Linked DNA regions of Rhinolophus ferrumequinum. The protein of the gene in region 3 interacts with the protein of the main gene of each other region in a pairwise test. Links are inferred from orthologs where the notes say so. Each region holds a gene or a part of one and is shown on either strand. Other genes may lie near its edges.

Region 1 (7,903 bases), on a different chromosome or scaffold from region 3:
ATGAGATTAGCATACTCTCCTTGCTTTTTCCACCTGTGTCCAGAGATACAGCTGAAGCCAACCCATGACAAACATGTAAGAAATAAACCTTTGTTGTTGTAAGTCGCTGAGATTTTAAGAATGTTTGTTATCACAGCATAATCTAATGCTCCCTCCTATGTAATTGATACTTGGTTACTTTCTCGGGAGGAGAAACGGACTTGGTGCGGTGGTGATCACAGGGGACTTTAGTTTTTATCTTTAATAGTTTAGTTTTCTTACAATTAAAATATATTCATGCATCACCATGTAATGAAAATGCATTATTTAAAATGAATACAGCAGGCGTTTTCTTACTTAAATGCTAAAAAATATCATTCTTAAAATACACACACACAAACACCCAATAAATTCATGGTTCTTTTTGCCCAGCTGGCACTCTGAAGAAAGAGACTGGAGGTGAATAGCTGTGTGCACTTTCCAAAGCTAGAGGAAGTACTGGAGCATGACAACGCTTTGCCACTTTCTCTACAGGCAGAAATCTGCAAAGCCTAGACACACTGTGAAACTTATTTCTGGTTCAGCTATCATGAAACAGAAATACAGATTCATCTTTTGTTTTTACATTAATGATATCTACCTTTCAAATGACCTCATTTATATGAAAACAAAGGTGATTATGTAGCCAAAATTCAATTCAGTGAGTTTGGAGAATGCTGGTCTCCTTGACACAGCTTACCCTTGTCTGGCAAAGTTAGTGAGAACTATGGGAGCTCTTTTTCTGATACACCGATAGACCTTTCTGAGTCAGGATTTCAGCCTTTGTCCCATTAAAACGAAAAGCCAAAATTGGTGGGATGGATATCAAAAACCTCACGCAAGTTGACATGTCATAGGCTACCCTTCAATTTCAACTTCTTATTCAATCCAAACAGCAGCCCTCTTGTCTTTGAACTTTACTTTACTGAGCCAAAGGTCAGTGGCCAGATTCCCCGGTCCAGTGCCCAGTCCCCAGCTTTGTGTGATCAGGAAGTTATGATGCTGCAACAGGAGTAGCAGTAGTAACTCTGACCTCTCAATCACAGCTATGGTGACTTTGAAACAAAGTCCCACCTGATTTAGGCAATTCTAGCTCTTCTAATGAGTCTGCAAGCACCTAATTCCCTTTATTAAATCCTGTTCTGCTTAAAATACCTAGAGTGGTTTCTGCTTCTGTCTCCTGCACAGAACTCTGACTAAATACAAGTTGGATGATAACGTTCAGAAAGTAAACCCAAACACAAAAAGATAAAATAATAAGAGAGAGGAAGGAAAAAACAGTATAATTCGAAAATCATTCCAAGAGCTCAGATATCTGAATAATTGGGGTTCCAGAAAGCGAAGACAAAGAAAATAGAGAGGTGGAGGAAGGAAATCTTCATGGAAATAAGCCACAAAAATATCCCAGAACTGAAAGAAATAGGTTTTCAGATTAAAAGAGCCTGTTAGTGACAATTAGATATTATATGCCTCCTGGTATGAAGCAATAGGAAACATAGTCCCACCTGTAAAATTTTCTTGCCGAAAATTGAGCCAAAATCCAATCAAGTCTTTAGATATAACTGCCAGTTTATAGGACATTCAAGGGATAGGGTCACATTTTTAAAACTCTGCAAGAAACCAAATAGCCAAATTCAGACTGTGATAAGATAATTTACCCAGTTTCTTCAACAAATCAATCATATAAAGAAAAAAGGAGGAAGCGTTAACTGTGATGGATTAAAAGACACTTAAGAGATTTAGCAACTAAATGCAATGTGTAGAGCTTATTAGGATCCTGATTTAAATAAACCAATGTAAAAAGTAATTTTTAAGACAATTAGGGAAAATCAAACCTGGACCATGTATTATAAGAGAATAAGGAATTGTTAATTTCCTTAAGTGTGATCATGGAACTGTGGTTATTTTTTTTAAAAAAATTCTTACCTGTTAGAGCTACATATGGAACTAAGGTATTTACAATTCAATGATATAATGGTATTTACATTGAATGGTATTTACAAATTCAATGATATAATGTCTGGGATTTGCTGTGAAATACTCCTAAAAAAAAGGCAAAAGATAAATAGTAAAATAAAGCTGGGTGATGGGTACATGGAGTTCATTGTACTATTCTCTCTAATTTTGAGTTTGTTTGAAAATGGTCATAATAAAAAGCAAAAGAGAGGAAGAAAGAAGGGAAGAAGAAAGAAAGAAAGAGAGAGAGAGAGAGAAAGAAAGAAGGAGGAAGGGAAGGGAAGGGAGAGGAGGAAGGAGGGAGGGAGGAAGGGGAGAAAGAAGGACAAACTGTGGGACATTCATACAATGCCATAATATTCGGTGACAAAAAAAAACGAGCTCTTAAACAATACAGATATGGAGGAATCGTAAATCATATTGCTTTAACTCAGTCAAGGCTACATACTGTATGATTCCAACCATACAACATCTGGAAAAGGCAAAACAAAGACAGTGTAAATGAAAAGTCACTGCCAAGGGTTCGGGTGAGAGGGTGAGGTCTGAATAGTTGAAGCACACAAGATTTTTCGCACAGTGACTCTGTTCTATATGATACTGTAATGGTAGGTGCCTGACATGGTGCATTTGTCAAAATCCATAGACTAGAATGAACCCTACTGTAAACTATGGACTTTAATAATAATGTATTAATATTGGTTCATCCATTGTAACTCATGTACACTAATGTAAGGTGTTAATGGCAGGGGAGTCTGTGGGTGGGGACAGGTTGAGTCTATGGGAACTCTGTGCCATCGGATTAATTCTTCTGTAACCCTAAAACTGCTCTAAAAAAATAGTCTACTAAATTAACAAAAAATTCATTATGGAATCCAAAGCTCAACTATCACCTCTTTCAGGAAGTCCTGCCTGCTCCCCCACCACATTCCCAGGATGAGTTAGGTGCCCTTCTCCGGCTCCCATAATACCCTGGGCATATATATTCCTATGGCTGCATCTGCCACATTTGTATGTTAGTATCTCTTTGTGTCTCTGTCGGTTAATAGCTGTGGTTTGTTGACCAATGGCCTAGAATGCAGAAATGGTGAAAGCAGCTTATCCATGCAACCCGTTAGCAGGCACCCAGGGACGCCTGGCAAAGGGCACTTCTGTTCCCTCAGTACACTGCTGATGTCATCTGTGGTGTAACCATCATGAGCCCTGTGACCCACTAGGCTATTTTCTGGATGGGGGCATAAGGCACAGTCATGTTTCATGAAGGCTTATTTCAACCCGAGCAGTCTCTGGATTACTGACCTTTGGTTTGCCAAAGATAGATCCCCATGGGGAAGTTTTTGCACTGGGAAACTTTTCTGGGGTTCAAACCATCCTGTGGTTTTGATGTCACATTCGTGCTGTTTACATTACACAATGTTCAAGCTTGCTCAAGTTAAAAGGTGGTATAGCACAGGAGTGACAGGCACAAACACCTATATGACAGACAAGAAGAATGAGGAAAGCAGACTTGGTCAGGAGGGGACCCTGGCACTTTGAAAAGTCCATGTCTGACCTAGAGTAGGCAGCCACACTCCTTGCCTTCAGCAAACTGTTCCCACACACAAATGTTGCTAGACAAGGCAGAGATGCACATTTTTGTTCACACAAAAATCTCTGTCTTTAAAAACTTGGCAACTAACACACAAATGATTTAGAAATACTGGACGTTATCTTGGGAGGAGAAGGAATCATCCAATTGAATTGGGGTTTTATGATGGGGGAGAAAGAGCAGGAAAAGGGTACAGGGTAAGGGCAATCTCTGGAGAACCTTGATTGTCGCACTCAAGGGGCCTACCAATTGTCTTCTAGGTCTGTCTGACTAATCACCAAAGGATTTAAGCAAGAAAGGAACAGGATTAGAATGGCATTTTAAAAAGATCACTTTGGCAGTTGATGGAGGCAGGGCTCAGAGTAAGGTGATGAGCTAGAAGTCTATCATTAAGGTGAGTCAGGGTAAAGAAGAGGTGACAAAGGCGTCTTCACTTTGTTTTTTCTCCTACCAGATTGTAAATTCCAAGACAGCAGGGCCCCGCCTGTGGTGTTCTTGCTGTGTCTCCAACAATCAGCACACAGCCTGCTCAATAAATATTTATTGAAAGAATGAATGAAAGGGAGGGCGAGCAGGTGAGAGGCATTTTGAAGAACTGTGTTTAAGAGTCAACTGCCTTGGAAGAAACAGATCAATGTTGATAACGGTGAGTGCAGTCATGCGAGTGGGGGCTGTGGGGGCCTGTTTCCTTTCCTTAAATTTCCTCTAGGAGCTCGAAAGGGGGGTGTTCAATTACGAGATTATCAACACAGGCTTAAAAAAAGGGAAAAAGACCTTCGATCCTCATGGCCTCTTCAGTCCAAAAAAGAGGAAATGATTAGTACCTTGAAGGACTGAAGACAGGATTAAGCAAAAATTTAGGAATGAGCAATTTCTGTCCATCCCTAGATCCAGTATTTCCAAAGGACAGCGCAAAAGGGGACTGACCTCAACCTCTAACCCCATGGCGATTACTTCTAGGGTGGGGTGGGAACCGATGACCTCGGAATCTTTGGGCCTGGCCCTCTCGAGGTTTAGCCTAAACAGAGTGGGCCTCAGGCCCGCCCCACCCCAAACCTCGCCCAGTCTTCCTCGTTCCAGCACATCCCAGTTCTTGACCCTCCCCCCACCCGCCCCCTCTCCTCCTACCTCCTCTTTCCGCTCCCCCGCCCCCATTTCCGTCCCCCACCGCCCGCCTCCTCCTTGCTCGGGGCCCCGGCCCTCCGCCCTCCGGCGGCAGCCGCATCCAGGTCCCCTGCTCCGCTTCCTCCACCCTCTGTCAGCGCCCCTCTCACGCGGCCGGGGCAACCCCGTGCCCCGCTCGCCCAATGAGGAGAAGGCGCAGGGGCGGGGCGGAGCTCGGGACGGAGCGGAAGTGGTGACCGGAGCGGAAGTGGAGCTGCCGCCACCGCCGCCGCCGATTCCGGAGCCGGGGTGCCTGCTGCCGCCGCCACTGCAGCTGCCGCCGCCGCTGCCGCCGCTACCGCTGCCGCTTGAGGAGTGGGCCTGGGAAGAAAGCGGTCACCGCGCTCGGAGCTCCTCTCGCAAGCGTCTTTGCCCCCTGCAGCCCTCCCACGGTGAGTGCGGCGCGGGGTCCGCCCGTGGCCCCCGGGGGCTCAAGGCCAAAGCTCCCCCCCTCCCCGGCGGCGGCGACGACCACCAGGGCGACCCCGCGGGTGGGCTTCTAGGGTCGCGCGCACGGCCTTCTAGGCCCCGCGCGGCCGCCTGCGGCGCGGGCCTGGTCTCGCCGCGGCCCCTCCCTATTTCCGGGGCCGGGCCCTTCGCTCTCGGAGAGGCCCGGGCCGCCCTCGCCGCCTGCGGCCCTGCCCGGCGGGCGGGGTGCGGCTCCGTACCGGGCGGGAATGGGCTTCCAGCCGCGGACCTCAGGCCCTCCCTCACTGCCCAGTTTCGATCCCCGCGCGACCCCTCCCTGCTCCTCGGGCGCGGAGATCCGACCTTTTCAGCCCTGTCACCCCTGCTTATTACTTTCTGGCTTCCAGCAATTAAAATTGAACCAAAGGCCGACGAGTTCTCGAGGCCCACTGCTCCTGCTTCACTCTCCCTGGATGGGTAAGGGGTTTAACCTTGGGAGAGAGCAGAAAGCAAACCCCCTCCCACTTTGCAGTAAAGCCATTTATTTCATCATCGTTCGCTGGTTTTTGAGCCTGGCAGAATCCGAGGTTCCCTGGGAAGTCTAGGGTTGAGGTTTGAATCAAGAAAATGCATTTGTTGGAACCGGTTACTGAGTCAGGCCGGATCCCCAGGAGAAAAAATGTAAAAGGCTGAGTACCGAGTATCTTCCCACGGTATCTACCGTCATTAATGCCAGAGTCTTTTGTGTCCTCGCCCCAAATTCCCTCATGCTGTGTGTTAGTATGTTTTTAGGACTGAAATTTGCCCTGATGGCCTCTCTGGTGGTGGGGAAGAGTAGGAGTGATTTGGACCCCTTTTCTACCTAAGATGAGTACATCTTCGTCTATTGCAAATGGAGAACTCCGATGCAATGGGGTTTTCAAAGGTGGCAGTATTGGTAAGACAATTTGCCAACCTTTCTGTAAAAATCCATGTCTCTTGTCCTTGCTGTCACTGCTTTTCACTTTGGTAAGGCTAGATAGCAAGCATCAGGCTCTGGTTTGACTTGCTATGTGTGGGAGATGGAATTTGGAAAGATGATGTTATGAACACAGCAAATTAGGTGGCAGCAAGAGCCTGAACAGAAAGACGAAGCATTTGTGAGAATATAAAAATTGTCTGCATTTCTCATTGTCTTCAGTTGTTCATATGAAACCACACACATGCAGTTTATAGAACAGGACACATGGTCACGCAGCTTTTTGCATTTTCCCGTTAGAAATGTAAAAGTGTTATTTAGTTTGTAGTGATTTTTCTCCTTGAACACTTTCAGTGAACCCCATTTCTTATTTAGGAATTGTGTCTCACTTGCCTGAACCCTCATTTTTCTTGGCTCTATGTCCTTAGCAGCACACAAGATGGTGAGAGTAAAATCTGTCTGTTTCACTGGACTCAAATTAGAATTTTATGGGTAGTCTTCAAAATAGAAGGCTAATAATCCAGTAGCAAATGCTGAATTATTTTCCTGGCCCCTACTTTCCATGAGATAAGAAACCATTCACCCATCTTACAGATGGAGTCTTTGTGGGAAGTGAGGTGATTTGGCCTAGACCACACACACCTGGTTTTCAGACTGAATGTCTTCATTCATCAGTAGTAAATATTTATGGACTGTCAGTCCCTGGAGTATGGTATGGCTCCTACCCTATAATCTTCTGTGTGTTTCCCATGATGCAGTGCTTGTGTTATGTTGAAGCCATTTTAGAATTGGATCTCTTGATCAGGGAGGCAACCTCCAGAAAACCAGGCTGAGCAAATTCCCATGATGCTAGTTCCCAAGGCAGAATCTCCAGATTTTTGGGCCACTGCAAAAAGTGCGTTTTGCCCATTTGGCTGTGGATATACAAGCAGAAAGAGCACTAGACTTGGAGTCAGATCAATTTGATTCAGGTCTTGCCTGCAGCATTTTCTAGCTGTGTGATTTTGAGCATGCTGCCTAATCTCTGGTTCTTCTTTCTCTATCTATATTGTATGAAGCCTTTTTACAAACTGGAAATTGTTAAATATAAGCTTTTGATTTTGTTTTTTAATCACAGAGTTTACCATTAATGGCTTTGTTTTTTCCTCCAGTTGCATTCTGATGAGACCCAACTCCTCTGTGTACGCATGTTGCTTTTTTAAAAAATGACAGAGTATTATTATAGAACCGTATTTTGTGTATAGCATCTCTAGTCTTTCTGAGCCCATTTTCTCATGCAAATGGTAATGGCCTTTAATGAATTCTTGTGGGAAACTCAGTAATCAAATAAGGATATGGGCTGTGTACTAGGTGTTGTGTAAAGGTTATTTGACCATATAAATGGGTGTACATATACATGTATAGATAAGATATATGCATATATGCTATATAGTATGAACACATATAGAGTCTATCCATTTGTGATTTATTCGCCAACTGAGGAGGTTGCATCAAGCAATTAGTTTATAATACTAATAGCTACCACTTATGTTGCTCACTATGTGCCAAGCTGTGTTCTAAATACTTTACACATATTAATAACCCTTCATAACAAGCAATGATAGGTATGTACTGTTAGCCCCATTTTACAGATGAATAAACCAAAGCACAGAGAAGTTAAATAATTTTCTTAGGGATATACACACAGCAACGGTAAGTGCTGGAATCAGGAATCAAAAGCAGGCAGTCTGGCTCTAAAGATAGATTTCTACTCGTAGTAAAACAACATGTGTATATCTTTTGTGTGAAGATTTCATTTCATCCTTAATTTTTCT
Region 2 (7,165 bases), on a different chromosome or scaffold from region 3:
CTCAGCTCAGCTCAGCACCACCCCCCACTCTGGCGTCTGCAGGGCCCCTGGGTTCTGTCCCTGTCATATGGCTGCTCTGTGGTTCTAGGATGTGGGCTGATCACAGCTGACAGATATACCTGTTGATGGGAACATCAGTCAGCTGGGGATGAGGAGCTGGCGGGGGCAGGGACAGCACAGTGACTCACACTACACCCTCCTTCCTGCCCTGGGTCTGGGACCAGCGCAGAATATCTGCCAAGCCCTGTTCTCTCTCCTTCCTCGCCTAGGAAACCAAGGCTGCCCTTGTCCCCAACAGAGACTGCATTCAGGGCTCTGCAGCTGTCCTGGGCCTCACCAGGGGTGCCTTGGGGTGGGGCAGGAACAGTAGATGGTCCCAAGCCAGATGGAGTCGGCAAAGCAGCCCCCACCTCTTGCGGAAGGTTTGATAAGAAAAGGGATCCTGAATTCAAAAATCCTGGGGTCCTTTCCTTTACAGCTCTGGACCCGCAGCCCAGAAAGGGGCTCAAGGTGGCATGGATGACCCAGGGGACATGGCAGGGTGGGGTCTGGCTTGTGTGCACTCACTACAGGTTCAGAGGGTGCGAGGGCCACAAGCACCTGGAGCCAGCCCCCCAGCTGGGAAGGGGCCGCTCCTCAGCTGCCTGGCCCCAGACACTCCTCCCCACTGTAGTCTTATCCCAGGAACCACCCCTCCGGCCCTGGGGAAGTGAGCTTTGCTGTAAGACAGAGCCGGGTCCACATCCCAGCTACAACACTGTGTAGATTGTCATCTAGGGCAGGCCTCAGGCTCCTGGTCTGTGAAGTGGGTACAATGCCAACAGCTATTTTGGGGGTGGTACGTGGGTCCAGGGAGACGATGCAGGTACAAGACCAGCCATGACCTTCTCCCAGACTCCACCTGGAGGACGGTTTTGTCCCACTGCAACCCGGGGCTTTGATTTGGAAATTGGGGAGACAATTAGGACCCACCTCCCGCAAGTTTCCCACAGGAAGGCTGGCAGCCAGGCAGGAAGAGATTCGTGGCACACGTGCTGGGCCATGAGGACGTCTCTCTCTGGAGCCCAGGACGGCAGGCGTGCCCACTCCAGCAGAGCCCGCGGTAACGCTCACTCCACTCATGAAGTTCAAGGCCGGTGCTGTGCTAGGTGGGCCACTCCCTCCTCTGAGCTGTGGTATCTGCAGAGGGCAGTGGCTGTGCATGCCCTCCTGGGCTGCTGTGAGGACCCCCGAATGACTGGGGGTGCATGCAGGAGGCCGAGGACTGGAAACCCAGGGTGCAGCTGCTGACTGTGACAATGACAGGAAGCTGAGGGCAGCTGAGTCCAGCCAAAGCCCAGCCTGTGCCCTCACTTGCAGCCCCTGCTTCATTAGCAAGGAAGGTGATTTTTCACAGCCAGTGCCCTGGCTGACCTTGCTGAGCCACCCAGGGGCTGCTTCCCCAAGGACCACTGTCCCTGCTTGGCCCAGTGCCAGCAGGTATGGGACCCGCTCCAGTCTCTGCCCAGGCCAGCCACAGGAAGTCCAGTGGCAGGTGTAAGGCCCAGAGAGCCTGTTGTGCGGGTCTGCGGACGGCACTGAGGGACCACAGTGGCCAAGGGAAAGCCAGGTGTACCCACAGGACTCTAGCCACTCGCTCTACCCATCTAGCAGGGGCAGGGGTGGCCAATCTCCCAGGGTGAGCTCTGGGCAGTTTGGGCCAGCAGAGAAAATGCAAGAGAAGGGGGCTGTCCCCTGCCTGGGGAAACTTGAGGTGACAGTAGCGAAAGCACCTTTTCAACGTACCCATTGCCACGCTCAAAGAGTTTCATGTCACCACTTCTGGGCACCTCTGGGAGATGGGGCACCTGGGCCCTGGGCAGTGTGGCCTGAAGGCAGCCACAAGCCCACTGTTGGCTGCTTGTCCTCACGGGTGAAAGAAACACAGGAATCCATCTCTTGGGGATAGGGGGGTGTGGGGATGTGCGAAGACCATGAGACGCCAGCTCGGCATCCATTCTTTACTCACAAGACCCTGGTTGTATTTGGATCGTTTTGCCCTTCCTTCTTTCTCCTTCCTGCTGCCTACGTATGCTAGCTGGAGCTCCTGCAGCCATGTTGGACCTTAAGGTAAACTCAAGAATGCAAGCAGGGACACAGATGGAGCCCGGGGCCCTGCTGACCCCGGGGCCTCCGTGCCAGCCTTCTATTGCCTCCCTCTGGACTTCTACACGACAGAGAAAGCAGAAAAGGCAACCAGCCTTGTTCAGACTGCTGTTACTTGGGGTGTTCTGCTGCGAGCAGCAAGACCTAGTGTCCGTGCTTCTTCCTTACAGAGCAAGACTGTCCCAAACATGAGAGGAGCTGCATACCCTCAGGACCCATTTTCTGAGTGTCAGCCGAATTCTGGGGGTCAGCTTATGTTTCATTCCTTCATTCTTCTTCATTTAATTACTCTTCCTCCTTCCAACACCCCACCACTGTTTCTTGAACTGTACCCCAGGCATTTCCCTTGATTCTCTCTCCAACCTCCCAACAACCCCCAGAGTGGGAACTATTAGTGTACTTGTTACGTCTCAGGGCCCTTTAGGAAGTAGGCATTCATTAATTACTTGAATAATTAAGAGGTGTATTCGTGGAGCATAAGACACCCCCTCCCAGCACACAGCCTGCCCCTGGCTCTGAAGCCCTAGGGCCCGGCTCAGGGCAGCTGCCCCCAGAGACCTAACTGAGCAGGACCAGCTGTGTGGTTGACCCAAGCCCCTCCCCTGTCCAGCTTCTATCCTACAAATCCCTAAAGCCTCTCCCATCCAAAGGGGGCCCCAGGAGCCTAGCCTCTCAGCCAGGATACCCCAATACTTACTTTCCTCAAAGCGACCCTATAGGGGACAGCAAGGAATGGGCACAAGGCTCCCTGGTCCAGGGCAACCCCAGAAGCCCCAGCCCCCACCCCTCGAGCCTCCTGCCCTGTTGGCGCCTACCTTGGCCCGAAGCATCCTGGGCGCTGAAGGAAACTGTTGCCAGGCTCCCCTCCTCGCCGCCAAAGAGATCAGGACTGTCGGGCAGAGCTGGCAGCTGCCTCATGTTTGCTTGGACTGGAGGCTCCTCGCCCGCCCCCTGCCCACCCGCCCCCCTGCCTGTCTCTACCTGCTCCACCCCTTCTGCTCTGCCTCCCCTCCCTCCTGCTGTCCTCTCTTCTCCTCTCCTCTCTCTCCCTCTCTGTCTCTGTCTGTCTCTCCCTCCCTCCCTCCCTCTCTTTTTCTCTCTCTCCTTCTTCTCTCCCCCTCTCTCTCTGTCTCTCTCTCTCTCCCTCTCTTTCCCCTTCTCTCTCTCCCTCTCCCAGCCACTGTCCCACTCTCTGTATTATTGGTTCCTAATCCTGCCCTCTCAGCCTGTCAAAGAAGTACTGAAGTCCCACCTGTTTGGCTCTCTGGGCGTCCTCTCTGCCTGTCACGAGTGTCTCTCCCTGTGCCACCTCCGCTCTGTCTCTTTTTCTAACACACACACCCCCTCCCCCCACCCCTTGGTTATGGGGAGGGGAGGGTGCATGGGGGGGGTGTCCAGAAAACCGGGGCTTGGGGGAAGGGAGCTCTGATGTGAGTTTCTGCCCCAATAGGGGTTGGGGACAGGAAGGGGCAGCCTTCCTCTCCCTGCTGCCCCCTGGCCAGTCCTGCGGGCCCTTTTCACGGACACCCTGAGGAGGGGCCTGCAGTCAAGACCCTGGTGCCACCTCAGCTGCTCCTGGCTTCCAAGGCATCCTCCCTGTGGGGACATCATTCTGGTCCTCAATGGCCTCACAAACAGGGGTTCACCCATGCAGAGATGGTGACAGCTACCAGGGCCACAGCACATGGGTCACACATAGGGGCCCTTCCATCTTTGACCTGTCTCCCCCCTTAATTACCTCCTTTTTACCCGACATGGGGTCTCACGATGTGGGGGCCCTCCCAGGTAGCCTGTCATCTGTCCTTGCCTATGTCCCAGTTTGGGACCCCATGGGGGTGGCAGAGGGACCTCGCCATGTCTCTTAGCGGGTGGAGGAAAAGGGTGAGGGCCCCTGAGTTTCCTTGGGAGGGGGGCAGACTCCTGGGAATTCGCTCAGACCCCAGGGAAACCACCCAGGAGCCAGGTGCCCAAAACCTCTGCCAAGTTTCCCTTTTCTGCACCCAGTGACAGCCTGTTCCAGTGGTTCCCATGGAAACAGAGCCTGCGACACCCTCCTCTGCAGCGGGCACCAGGCGCTGGCACGCCCTTCTTTTTTTTTTTAGCCAGCCAGTGAGCTCTAACTCTCAGATCCACAGGGGAGGAGAGTGGCCTGGAGCCATTGACCCACTGAAGCGGGAGGCCACCCCGCTGTCTGGGCCCTGGGAGGAGGTGCGGGAAGCCCCTGCTGCAGCTGTCGTCAGAGGCCATCCACGCGCTGGCCTTTGGCTCTGAGCACGCTCCCACAAGGGACTCACTGAGCACTTGAGTTTTCACAGTGCACTGCCTTGGGAGGAAATTGTCTCTGTGCGGTGATGAAAGTGACACCAAAGCAAGTTAAAGGACGCGCCCAGGGTCATAGGCTAGAAAGTGACAAAGCCGGTTTCTTTCATTCCAAAGCTCGCATGGCTGAGATCTTGCCCCACCTCCCAGGCTCCACACACCAGCTTGGGAACTTACCACCAGGCCATGGGCCTGGCCTCCCGCTGTCCCACCCTCAGACCAGCGCTGTGCTCTGCAGGCGCCCACCCGCCACTTGGCACACCCACTGAACTTCCATGACCCAGAGACGCTTCCTTCCAGTTCAAGAGCCTTGAGCTGTGACAGGCCAGGCCCAGGACAACTGCGTCCCCCCAGGCCCTCGTGCCCTTGGGCCTTGAGAACCTCCCACTGCAGCTGCCAAGGAGTGCCCCTCATAAAACACAAATTTGAGGCACGTGTGCCCTGCTGTGACCCTTGCCCACCCCCAACCCCCTTCCTCCCCAGGGCAGGTGGGAATGGAGCTGGAGGCCACCCCTGAGAGTGCCCAACTGGGCTGTGGGCACGTGGGACGGGCAGGCTTTCCCCCAGAGGGTCTGGGACTTTCCAAAGAGTCCCTGGCAGTATGTCAGACCCAAAGTAGGTAAAGGAAGGAAGGCTGCCGGAGGACTCGCCTGGACACTGCCAGATGGGTTTCAGCTGTGGTCTCCTCACACCGGGGTGGGGATGAGAATGGGGGACGTCAGATGGGAAAAGGAAGGGGTCAATTCAAGCCTGGGGCCGGGCTGAGATGCCCTATGTTACGTTTGAGTATGCCGCCTTTGAGTGGGAGCCATCTCAGCTAGCCCACCCCACCTTGGCGAGGGGCTCACAGCACCCCTGCCCACAGGTCCTGGGGTCTCTTTGGACTTCCTCCATTGCTGCCTATTGCAATCCCCTCCATCCAGGCCCATGGCCAAACCTCCTCCTTGGGAACCCCAAGCCTGGCTCCATGGACCATCCTGTACCTTCCTCCTGGGCCATGGCTTTGCCTATCCCTGGTCAAGGGAAAGAGAGAGAGAGAGAAAGAGATAGAGAGAGAGAGAGGAAAGGAGGGAGGGAAGGAGAGAGGGAGGAAGAGAGGGAAGAAAAAAGAGAAAGATAGAGGGGGAGAAAGAGAGAGAGAGAGAGAGAGAGAGGTGCTCAGTACTCTCAGGGTTTGGGTCCCGGCCCACCAAGAGCCCCTGCCTATGAGGAAAGCCCTTTTGGGTGGAGGGTGGTCTCACCCTGCATGTGGACCTCAAGAAATGTCTGTTGCTGAAGATCACCCCTCCCTTGATGCTGCAGCCCTCGGTGTCACCGTGAGAAAGCACAGCTGCGGAACTGCAAAGCCACCAGATGCAGCCTTATCTGGGTCTTCTACTGGCCCTCAAAATCTCTCCCGCTGCCCACCCTCCCTCCCGTGGCTGGGTGGAAACCTGGCAGACCCGCAATGCTGCCTGGGAGAAAGACCCATGGTTCTGCCACTTCACAGCACAGTCTGGGCCCAGGTCCTGGCCACCTCAGGTGGGGCAGGGGCCTGCAGTCACAGGGGCTACTGTGTAGCTGGCCTTCAGCCCCTGGAACTGTGCACTGGGTTGGCAGAGGTTTAAAGCTGTTCCTCCATCCTGTGGGCACCCCCACGGGTCCTCAGGGCCTGGCCATTGCTGGGCACTCCCCAACCCCCAGCTAGGGTTTCTCACATGGGCTTCAAGGGAGCCAGGAGCCTGACAGCCCAGGCAGCTCCACCCTCTCGTGGAGGTCTGTTGGCCCTCCAGGCAGCCTCCCCGGCTGGGCCTGAGGGCCCCTCTGACTGCCCCTCACCTGAGGCCCTCCTCTGGGCCACAAAGCAGCCAGCCCGTCTCGCCCTGCAGACTTTGTAGATGGGGGGAGCCCTCAGTCCAGTGGCTTTCTCCCACCTCAGGGATGCACGCTGTGAAGCTCTCTGGGGGCTCTTTAAAGCCTCCTTCCCTCTGGCTTGAAATGAAGAGAGGACACCCGTCCCTCTCTTTAGGCTCAGCTCACCTCCTCTAAATCCCCTGCTCTAACCTCAACACATGACTCCTGGGTCCCCTCAGTGTGGTGGGGGTCCCGGCCTCTAAATTCTGCAGCTCGTGGTAGAGGTCAGGGCTGGATGCGGTCGTGTCTCCGCACACACCAGCCTTCTGCTGCCCGGTGCTCAGTCCACGTCTGTACGATGGATGAAAGCTAAGTGCTCCCAGAGGGTCACGTCCAGGCACTGTTAGGAGATTGGGGACCAAGGGGAAGGGGCTTCATTCCAGCAGCAGGGTGTGTGTACTGGGCTGGCCCCGGGCACTTGGGCCTGGAGACAGGGCTCTGGGAGTGGAATATAGGGAGGGCCTCTCCGTGACCACCAGAGCAGGACCTCAGGCTGACCTGGAGAATTCCATGTTGCCTGAAATGCCCCAATTATCCCATGATGCCTCGGGGAAGTGTCTACTCAGCCTGCCATCGTTTCGGTGCCTGAGTTTTCTCAGCTGTAAATAGGTAAATAGCAGTGCCAGCCTCTTAGTGGATTTATGTGAATTGCTTAGCACTTTCTGGTTTATACTCATAGTTCCATAAATGTTAGCTCTGTCCCCTCAGGTAGCCTGAGCAGACTCGCAGCCATGTGGCCCTCCCTTTGCACACCTGAGCCAGCCGGAACTGCCCTGGTCAGTCACCTGAGACCTCAGACCCATGTGGG
Region 3 (7,550 bases):
TCTTCACAATAATTTGCTGCTTAGGTTGTTTCCAAACTTCTTATTCTGGGTTCTTTTTTCGGGGAATAAAAAACATCAACTCCTTTCAAGACCGATCTTCCACACATCCATTTTTCTGACAATAAGGACAAACACGTGCCTGGGGCAGAAAGATGACTGGATCCTTTTAATGAGATGGCCACAACATGTGTGAAGTGCCCATTGATTAAAAAAAAGCCAACAGATTATTTGGCTATAACTTCCAAACTCCCTTATTTAGACGCTCTGTTCATGTTGTACTGATACGAAACAGCCATGTCTGTATGACTTCATCTGCTTCGAAACTTCTAACTTTTCTAAGTTAAAGAGTTTTAAAAATCACCCTACTGCGGTCACACTCGGAGAGGAAACACGAATCCCTAAATATGGGGAACAACCACCACCCCAATCCTGGTTACTGGACTAGCCAGCCAAAAGAATGTCAGGCTCTGATAAGATGTGGCCGTTACTTCTCTCAGAGGTAAGTGTTTAGCACCTTTGGGATAAAAACTCAACGCAGGTTCACGCTAAGCCTATCGTTTCATCCTCAAAACTTCAGAGCTGTAGGGAGGGGCAGGTCCTGAGTGAGAACTCCAACAGACCATAATCAGGATTGGGGGTGCCTTCTGGCCTCCCATCAGGTTTCTGGGAACCAACAATTTCCAAGGCATCTTTGAGTAAAGCGTGGGCTACATGGGATTAGAAACGTACGTTAAAATACCCCTAACCCTCCTGTTTTCTCAAGAATGAAACGCCTTTCACAAAGGATATTTTTCAAGAAGAACGCTCCAAACAAGACATCCTATTTTAAAATGCCGGCCTCCTCTATCGGAGGCCATCACTGTTGCTGAGAATTTCATAACATACTAACATTAAAGAATAAAACGAGAGACAGTACAGTTCAATAGCAACGCCACTCTAAAAATGGATTAACACCGCTGCGTCTTCCAAACTATATTTAGCTTTCAAAGGCTACAAACCCTCTTCTGTCCCCCCAAACTCTGTCTGTGAGGCTTAGAAGGGAGCCCGAAAGCCTTTCGCCCAATCCGTGGAGCTGAAAGTTTAGAAAACAAAGAGCAGAAGAGCTCAGATTTGGGGACGGTCCGGCCTCAGTCTGCGTCTGACTCCACGCAGTAAACACGCTAATCCTATAAAAAATCTGCTCGGACTCCATCGTGGACTCAGCTCTTACCAAGCGGTTAAGAAGGGTTTGTTCACACGGCCTTTCCGAACGGCCCCCGCTGCCTCCGGATTCTCCCCCTCATTCTTCACGGCTCAGTCGTGATTTTCCCAATTGGCACTACCTGCATAGCCTCGCAACCATTACTCACCAGCACGCCCTCACCGGCCCCAGCCCGCAGTCCAGGGACTGCATTTAAACTTTAATCGTGATCAAGTTACCCTGCCGTCGCGCATGCACCAGTAAGCCACACTTTAATTTTTTGAGAAGCAGAGAACCCCCTCCTGCCCTCCCCCCACACCCCAGGGGGCCCCCACTTCTCCCTCCCTCCTCCCTCGCGGTGCTTCCCTACCCCTACCCGACACGACCAAAACAAAAGCTATCAGATTGCCAGCGATAGCGAGTGTGCAGCGACACTGCTTATTAACTATGTACAAAGGAAGTGCGGGGCCGGGGGAGGGGGCAGCGCGAGACAACTGCGGCCACGAAGCCCAGGCCAGCGCTGCGCGCTCGCAAAACAACACGCGCCCCTCCCCACGCGCCGCCGCCATCCGTCCACCGCGGCGCAGGGCACCTCTGGCCAGGGCGCGGCGTCTAGGTGTCCCCACGCGGCCGTGTGGCGGCGGCGACACCCCCGCGTGGCAAGCACGTGTGTGTACATGCACGTCGGCTGCGACCACAAACCCACTCCCGCACACTCGGATGCTGCCCGACCACCCCCTCCCCAGTCCCGCCAGGGGGAGGAGAGCGTCCACGGGCCGGGCAGACCCTGGGAGGAGGTCCCGGAACCCTCGGAACTGGGGTCCAGACGCGCTCCCCCAGAAGAGTGGCCGGTGTCGGGCCCCCGACTTCGCACTTTTCCAGGAGCTGCATGGAGGAATGGGGGTGCAGGCGGGCTCGCTCCCGCACCCCAGAGCCGCACTGGGCAGCCCCGGGAAGCGTGGGACAAGGAACCTGCGGCGGATCGGGTGAAAATGACGCGAACGGCCAGGAACCCAACGAGCCGGAGGGGCAAAGCGCGTTGGGTGACAGGAGGCCGCACCGGGATGTTTGGAAACGTGTCCTGGGGCTGCGGGGCCGCTCCGCCCGGCACCTCCTCATCGAGGGCAACTTGTACCCCACAGGCGGCTGGGCTCCCCGCCAACAGACGCAGCGTCTGCCCCACAGCGAGGGCTCCGCGCGGCCGCACGAGCTGTCCCCGCGGTCTGCGCGCGGTGCGGGCGCCAGCGCGGGGTGCGGACCAGCCCCGCGCGCCCCGACAGGGACGAGGTGCGGGCGGCGTGGCCCCACGGGGCGCGAACTTCCCGGAAAGAGTCCCAGCGCCTGGCTAGGAAGGGAGCGCCACGGAGACACGCGGCCCGCGCGCGGGGCACGGCTCTCGGGACAGCGAGCACGCCAGCCCGCGAGGCCCTTCCCTCGGGGGCACCGCGCGGAGCCGGGGCCCGCGGGCCTGCCACCCCCGAGCCCGCGGCCGAGCCCCTGCGCGGCCCGCCCCGCCCCGCCGCTCCTGCGCCCGCGGGCCCGACAGCTGCGACGGGGGCCACTCGGGTTTCGCAAACAGGGCGCAGCCCCTCGGAGGAAAAGTTCCCGCAGTGGCCGCGGGCGGCGGGCACATACTCACTCTCTCCACTCGTCGGCCAGAGCGAGAGCGCGGCGGAGACACACAGGAGCCCCCACAGCGAGGTCAGGGACCCTCCTCCGGAGCCAGACTTCATTCCTTTGATTTGGGACGAAATTCCCCTTTCTCAAAAATAAAAGGGGCGGGCGGGCGGGCGGCGTGGGGGGGGGAGGAAAAGCCAAAGTCTCCAAGTCAGTCTTCGCTCCCCCTCCGAACACAAGGGCGAAGCAAACAGTCCTCCCGAGGCGGCGCGGACGGGGCGGGCGGCGCGGGCGGCCCCTCAGCGTCGGCAGCCGCGGCCCAGGGCTCGGCCGAGTCGGGAACCCGGGGCGCGCCGGGGCGGGCTGTCGGCGTCGTCGGCCTCCATTTTCAAACCCAGCGAAGCAGGCGGGGGGGGGTGGGGGGGGGCTGCAACGGGAGGGGGGCAAAGCCCAAATCCGTCCGGGCCGCGCGGCGCACACCCGATCGCGGCCCCCGGGGGAGGCGGTGCGGGCCCCGAGCCGCGGCGGCGGGAGGGCGCGACGCAGTTCGCAAGCCGGCCGCGAAGTCCCGGGTGCGGGCGAGGCCGGCCGGGCCGAGATGCGGAGTCAAAATGAATGAGAGGCTCCCCCTCCTGCAGGTCCTCCGAGCTCCTGGCGCCGCCGCCGCGAGCTCCTGCCCAAATCCAGGACGCACACAAAGCGGCGGGCCGGCCGCGCCGCGCTCTGCACTCCCGCCGCCCGCCCCGCGCCGGCCCCCGCCCGCCGCGCCGCCGGCTCCGCGCGCGGGGGCTCCGGCTCGCTGAAGGTCAAAGCCGAGGCGCGCGGCGCGCCGTGGAGCTGCCCCCCGCGCGGGCGGGAGGGGCGCGAAGGGCCCGGGGAGCGGGGCCGAGGGTCTGCACGCGCCGGGCACCGCGCGCCGCAGGCAGGCTCGCTGGCGGCGTCCCTCTCGCTCGCCCGCCTCTGTCGAGTTCGCCCGGTGCGCTCGCTCCTCCTCGGGTTTTTTTTCCCCTTTTTTTTTTTTTTTTTTTTCCGCTCAGCGGAGTTAATGCTGGTAAACAAGAGCCTCAGCCTCGCCGCGCCGCTGCCGCCGCCGCCGCCGCCGCCGCCACACACTGGGGGCTAGCGCGCGCGCGCTCGGGCCCGCGCACACGGACGCGCGCGCGCGCACCTCCCGGAGCCGCCGCCGCCGCCGCCGCCGCCGCAGCCGCGGCGCGCCCAGGGCCCGGCCCAGGCCGGCGCGCGCCAAGAGCTGGAGCCCGGGATCCCAGGGACGTGCGGAGCGGAGCCGGGGCGTGGGGTACGAGGCGGCAAGGCACCGCCCCGCCGCCCCCGTCCCCCCGCCCGCGCGCGCCCGGAGACGCGCGCGCGCGCCCACACGCTCTCGCCCCCACCCGCACTGCGCCGGCCACCCTGCACGCGCCCTCCCCTCCCGCAGGACTCCAAAAACAATGCCCCCGGCGCCGGTCCGGGCGGGTGGTGGGGCCAGCCGAGGAGGGGTGGAGAGGCGGGGAGGGAGCGGGATGGGCGGGGAGTGCGGGGCCCGAGAGGTTCATTGAAAACAACAACAGCGCGGCTGGAAAGCGCGTTTCCCCGGTTCTTGAAAAGCTTCATTGTTTCTTGCAGCTGTTGCAAAATAAATAAATAAGTGCGTGCATGCGGCATTTTTTCGCAGCGCTCTGGAAAGCCCGAACGTGGCGGGAGGGGCACACCTGAGAGAAAGGCGATCCCTCCCAGGCTCCCAAGGTGGGCACTTTCACGCATGGCTAGGGCGGCCGCGGTGTCGCGACTGGGGAGCCCGGAGTTGCGAGGCTCACGGGGAGCTGAGGGGGAAGGGCGCGGCCCGCGGGGCTCGGCTAGGGGGTGCAAGGGGAGACGGCCAGCCGCCCGCCGCGAGCCCGGAGCCGGGAAAGGGGGGCCCAGACAGGCTGCCCCGCGTGCCCAGGGCGCGTCCCCGCGGCGGCCGCCAGGGGGCGTAGCAGGCGCGGGGGAGGGCTGGCCCGCGGAGTGTCGCCTCCCTCCGAACCGGAGAGGAAATGTGGGGGCCCGGACTGGGGGCCCGCTAGACTGGGTCGCACTGGCCGGGCCTCGAAGACCCGCGGCCCGCCCCAAAAGCTCCTCGCGCTGCTCCGGGCTCCACCACGTGGGCGGCTGCTGGGAGCGGCCAAAGCGCGTGCACCGTGCGGGCCGCGGGGGCCCCCGAGGCTAGGGGGCGTGTCCGAGGGGCCCCTGAAGGAAGGGGTCCGCGGCCGTGGCGGGCACAGTCTCCTGGCTGGGGTCGAGACCCTGGAACACGCCGCACATACGCGCGATCAGTGTGGTCACTGCGGAAACCCACCCGCACCTGCCTCGGGTCCTCCCGGGCCCCTCCCTCTTGCTTCCTTCGCTATGTAAGTGACTAGAAATCAGCACCAGCCCCAAGTCTCCTCTGTGGTTTTCTTGAATGTGCCCAAGGAGAGGTTTCCCCAAAACAAGACTGCCCGAGAACTGCCATCTAACGAATAAACGCTGCGGAGACCAGGTCCTTAAAGGGGGAAACAGCCCAGCAATGGCTGGAGAAAGGAGTTTGAAATACGTGGACTTTAAAAAATAGTGAGTGGGCCACGTGTTGCCCTTAATGTGGTCGGGTTTCAAGACTCAGGCTAATTGATGTTAACAACAAATAAAAAGAAGATGGCTAATAAAAGAGTCGTGAATGTCTAGATCGAGTAGAAGTGTTTGTCTCATGAACAACCAGGCTGTCTGGTAGGAAGGGATCTGTTCTAAAGAAAAGGTAGGTTTCTTTTCTTTTCTTTTTTTGTTTTTTACTCTTTACGTGTAAAAGATTTCCGAGTTACATTGTTTGTATCCCATCGTTTGTAAATCATTTTTAAAATTAAGACCTGAAAACAAGTCAAAAGCTATCATAATGGAAACCTAGCCTTCCCAGACCCCCATACTTAGTCCCTAGATCATTGATCTCCTTGGAAATTTTTAGCTCAATTCAGTATGTCAGTTGTATAGAAGGGAAATAAATCTTTTTTTACTTACAAGAGTTTTTCATATGGGATTGTTTTGCTTAACTGAATGAAATTCAGCTTAACTTTTAAATAAAAGATTCCAGTTTTAGATGTTATGGACATTAACAGAGGAAGAAATGTATTAGAATCTTTACAAAGAAACAAGTTTAGCACGTATCATTTAAAAATCAGGCACTACATGTGAATAATTAAAATTCAGTCTACTAATTTTTAAATATTCCTTCAGAGAGTTCCCTGCATGAGGTTGGTCTTGATGCCTACAGATTCATTCTGCAGTTAAATGTAAAGGAAAATCAATTTTATATTTTCATTGTATTTGGTGTTTAGAATTCTGAAATACATGCTTGTAAATTTAGACAAGTTGAGAGCTGACTTTTAAAAGACTAATGCTAATAAAAACTCTTTAAATACTATACAATATATTTTTAGTATTAGTAATAATTCCCATTCATTTGTCCCTAAAGACATAAGGTACACAGAATAAAGGACAAATGCTCAGTTGTTTAAATTGTAGTGATTTGGGTATTTTTTTTTACCAAAATGATTTTTCATTTGTCAATTTTTAAAATGTGTGTGTTTTCCTAAAGTAGTGGGAAATAAATAAGATTAAGCTATTTTAGATGGAAAAGTTAGATGATTATTATTATATACCTTCATTTTTAGAAAAAAGAGAATCAAAATATAAGTTGCCTTTCAGCTTTAACTTGATCACATAGACACAAAAGGCAATTTTTATCTTCTTCAATGATTACATTCTACATACTGAAGTCAAACTTATTTTTTCCACCTTGGAAATAAAATCACGTGGTAAAACATTCACTGGAGTCTTAGCTTCATAATCACACTGACAGTGCATCCCACTTGTTTGTTGTTATGCCATTTTCCCCAGGTGGCATAAATTTCCCTTCTTTTGGAGCAGAAACTGGTGGCTTATTTTCGTTTTCTTAAAAACTGTGCACTTGAAAACAGCTATATCTCAAATGATGCTGCTAAATGTTTCAGACAGCCCCAAATGTAATATATACCAAGTGAAAATATGAGAAACAGCCCAACTGACAATTGACAAGTATTAGCAGTAATACAATATGTTGTGATTCCCAGAAAGGAATATTATTCAACAGCAAAAGTGAGTAAACTACAGCCACATACAACACGGGCGGGTCTTGGAAATACAATGTTAAGTTAAAAAAAAAAAAATGCAAGTTCTGAAAAAAACTACACAATTGACACCATTTTGATAAAGCTCTTAAAAGCAGGGACAACAAAAAAATACATAGCAAGTTTTTTAAAGCAAGAGAATGAACTACATGGTGAAATATTTCTGTTTTGTTTTCTTTTACCAAGAGGATTAATAACACAAAATTCAGGATCCTGTTTCCCTCTGGGAGTGGGTGGGGAGAAGCCCATAGATACAGGCAGTGTTCTTAGAGACATGTTCATTTCAGACCGGGTGGTAGATTTATAGGTTTCCATTCTATGGTTATGCTTTATAACTAACACATGTGTTATGTGTGTATAAAATATTTTAAAAGATAGAGAGAAATATAGGGGAAATCCATGAAAGAGATCATCCCAGTTTCCAATATGATTCCAGATTCCAAGCTGTTTGTATAAGCAATTCAGACGCATTAAAGTACTACTAAAATGATATCGCTAATCAAGGTCTCATCCTTAAAAGATACATTTCAGAAGAATGTGTACACATATCCTATCTATACAATTCAAGACAAAAACAG

Evidence for each region. The genes of interacting proteins can lie anywhere in the genome.
Region 1: the proteins of IGF1R (region 3) and YWHAB interact in a two-hybrid assay, tested with the Homo sapiens proteins (2 studies listed by IntAct). The link is inferred for Rhinolophus ferrumequinum from reciprocal best matches to the Homo sapiens genes IGF1R and YWHAB.
Region 2: the proteins of IGF1R (region 3) and KCNIP3 interact in binary tests that used the Homo sapiens proteins (3 or more experiments, as listed by UniProt). The two-hybrid records come from large-scale screens. The link is inferred for Rhinolophus ferrumequinum from reciprocal best matches to the Homo sapiens genes IGF1R and KCNIP3.

Annotation. Positions count from the first base shown.
Region 1 is NC_046306.1:12,838,259-12,846,161, reverse strand, and holds the start of YWHAB (14-3-3 protein beta/alpha), read left to right. Parts: upstream 1-4,897; 5' UTR 4,898-5,115; intron 5,116-7,903. UniProt on the Homo sapiens protein: Adapter protein implicated in the regulation of a large spectrum of both general and specialized signaling pathways. Binds to a large number of partners, usually by recognition of a phosphoserine or phosphothreonine motif.
Region 2 is NW_022680356.1:1,665,170-1,672,334, reverse strand, and holds the start of KCNIP3 (calsenilin), read right to left. Parts: upstream 3,007-7,165; 5' UTR 2,976-3,006; coding exon 2,961-2,975; intron 1-2,960. UniProt on the Homo sapiens protein: Calcium-dependent transcriptional repressor that binds to the DRE element of genes including PDYN and FOS. Affinity for DNA is reduced upon binding to calcium and enhanced by binding to magnesium. Seems to be involved in nociception.
Region 3 is NC_046311.1:11,461,776-11,469,325, forward strand, and holds the start of IGF1R (insulin-like growth factor 1 receptor), read right to left. Parts: upstream 3,016-7,550; 5' UTR 2,914-3,015; coding exon 2,820-2,913; intron 1-2,819. UniProt on the Homo sapiens protein: Receptor tyrosine kinase which mediates actions of insulin-like growth factor 1 (IGF1). Binds IGF1 with high affinity and IGF2 and insulin (INS) with a lower affinity. The activated IGF1R is involved in cell growth and survival control.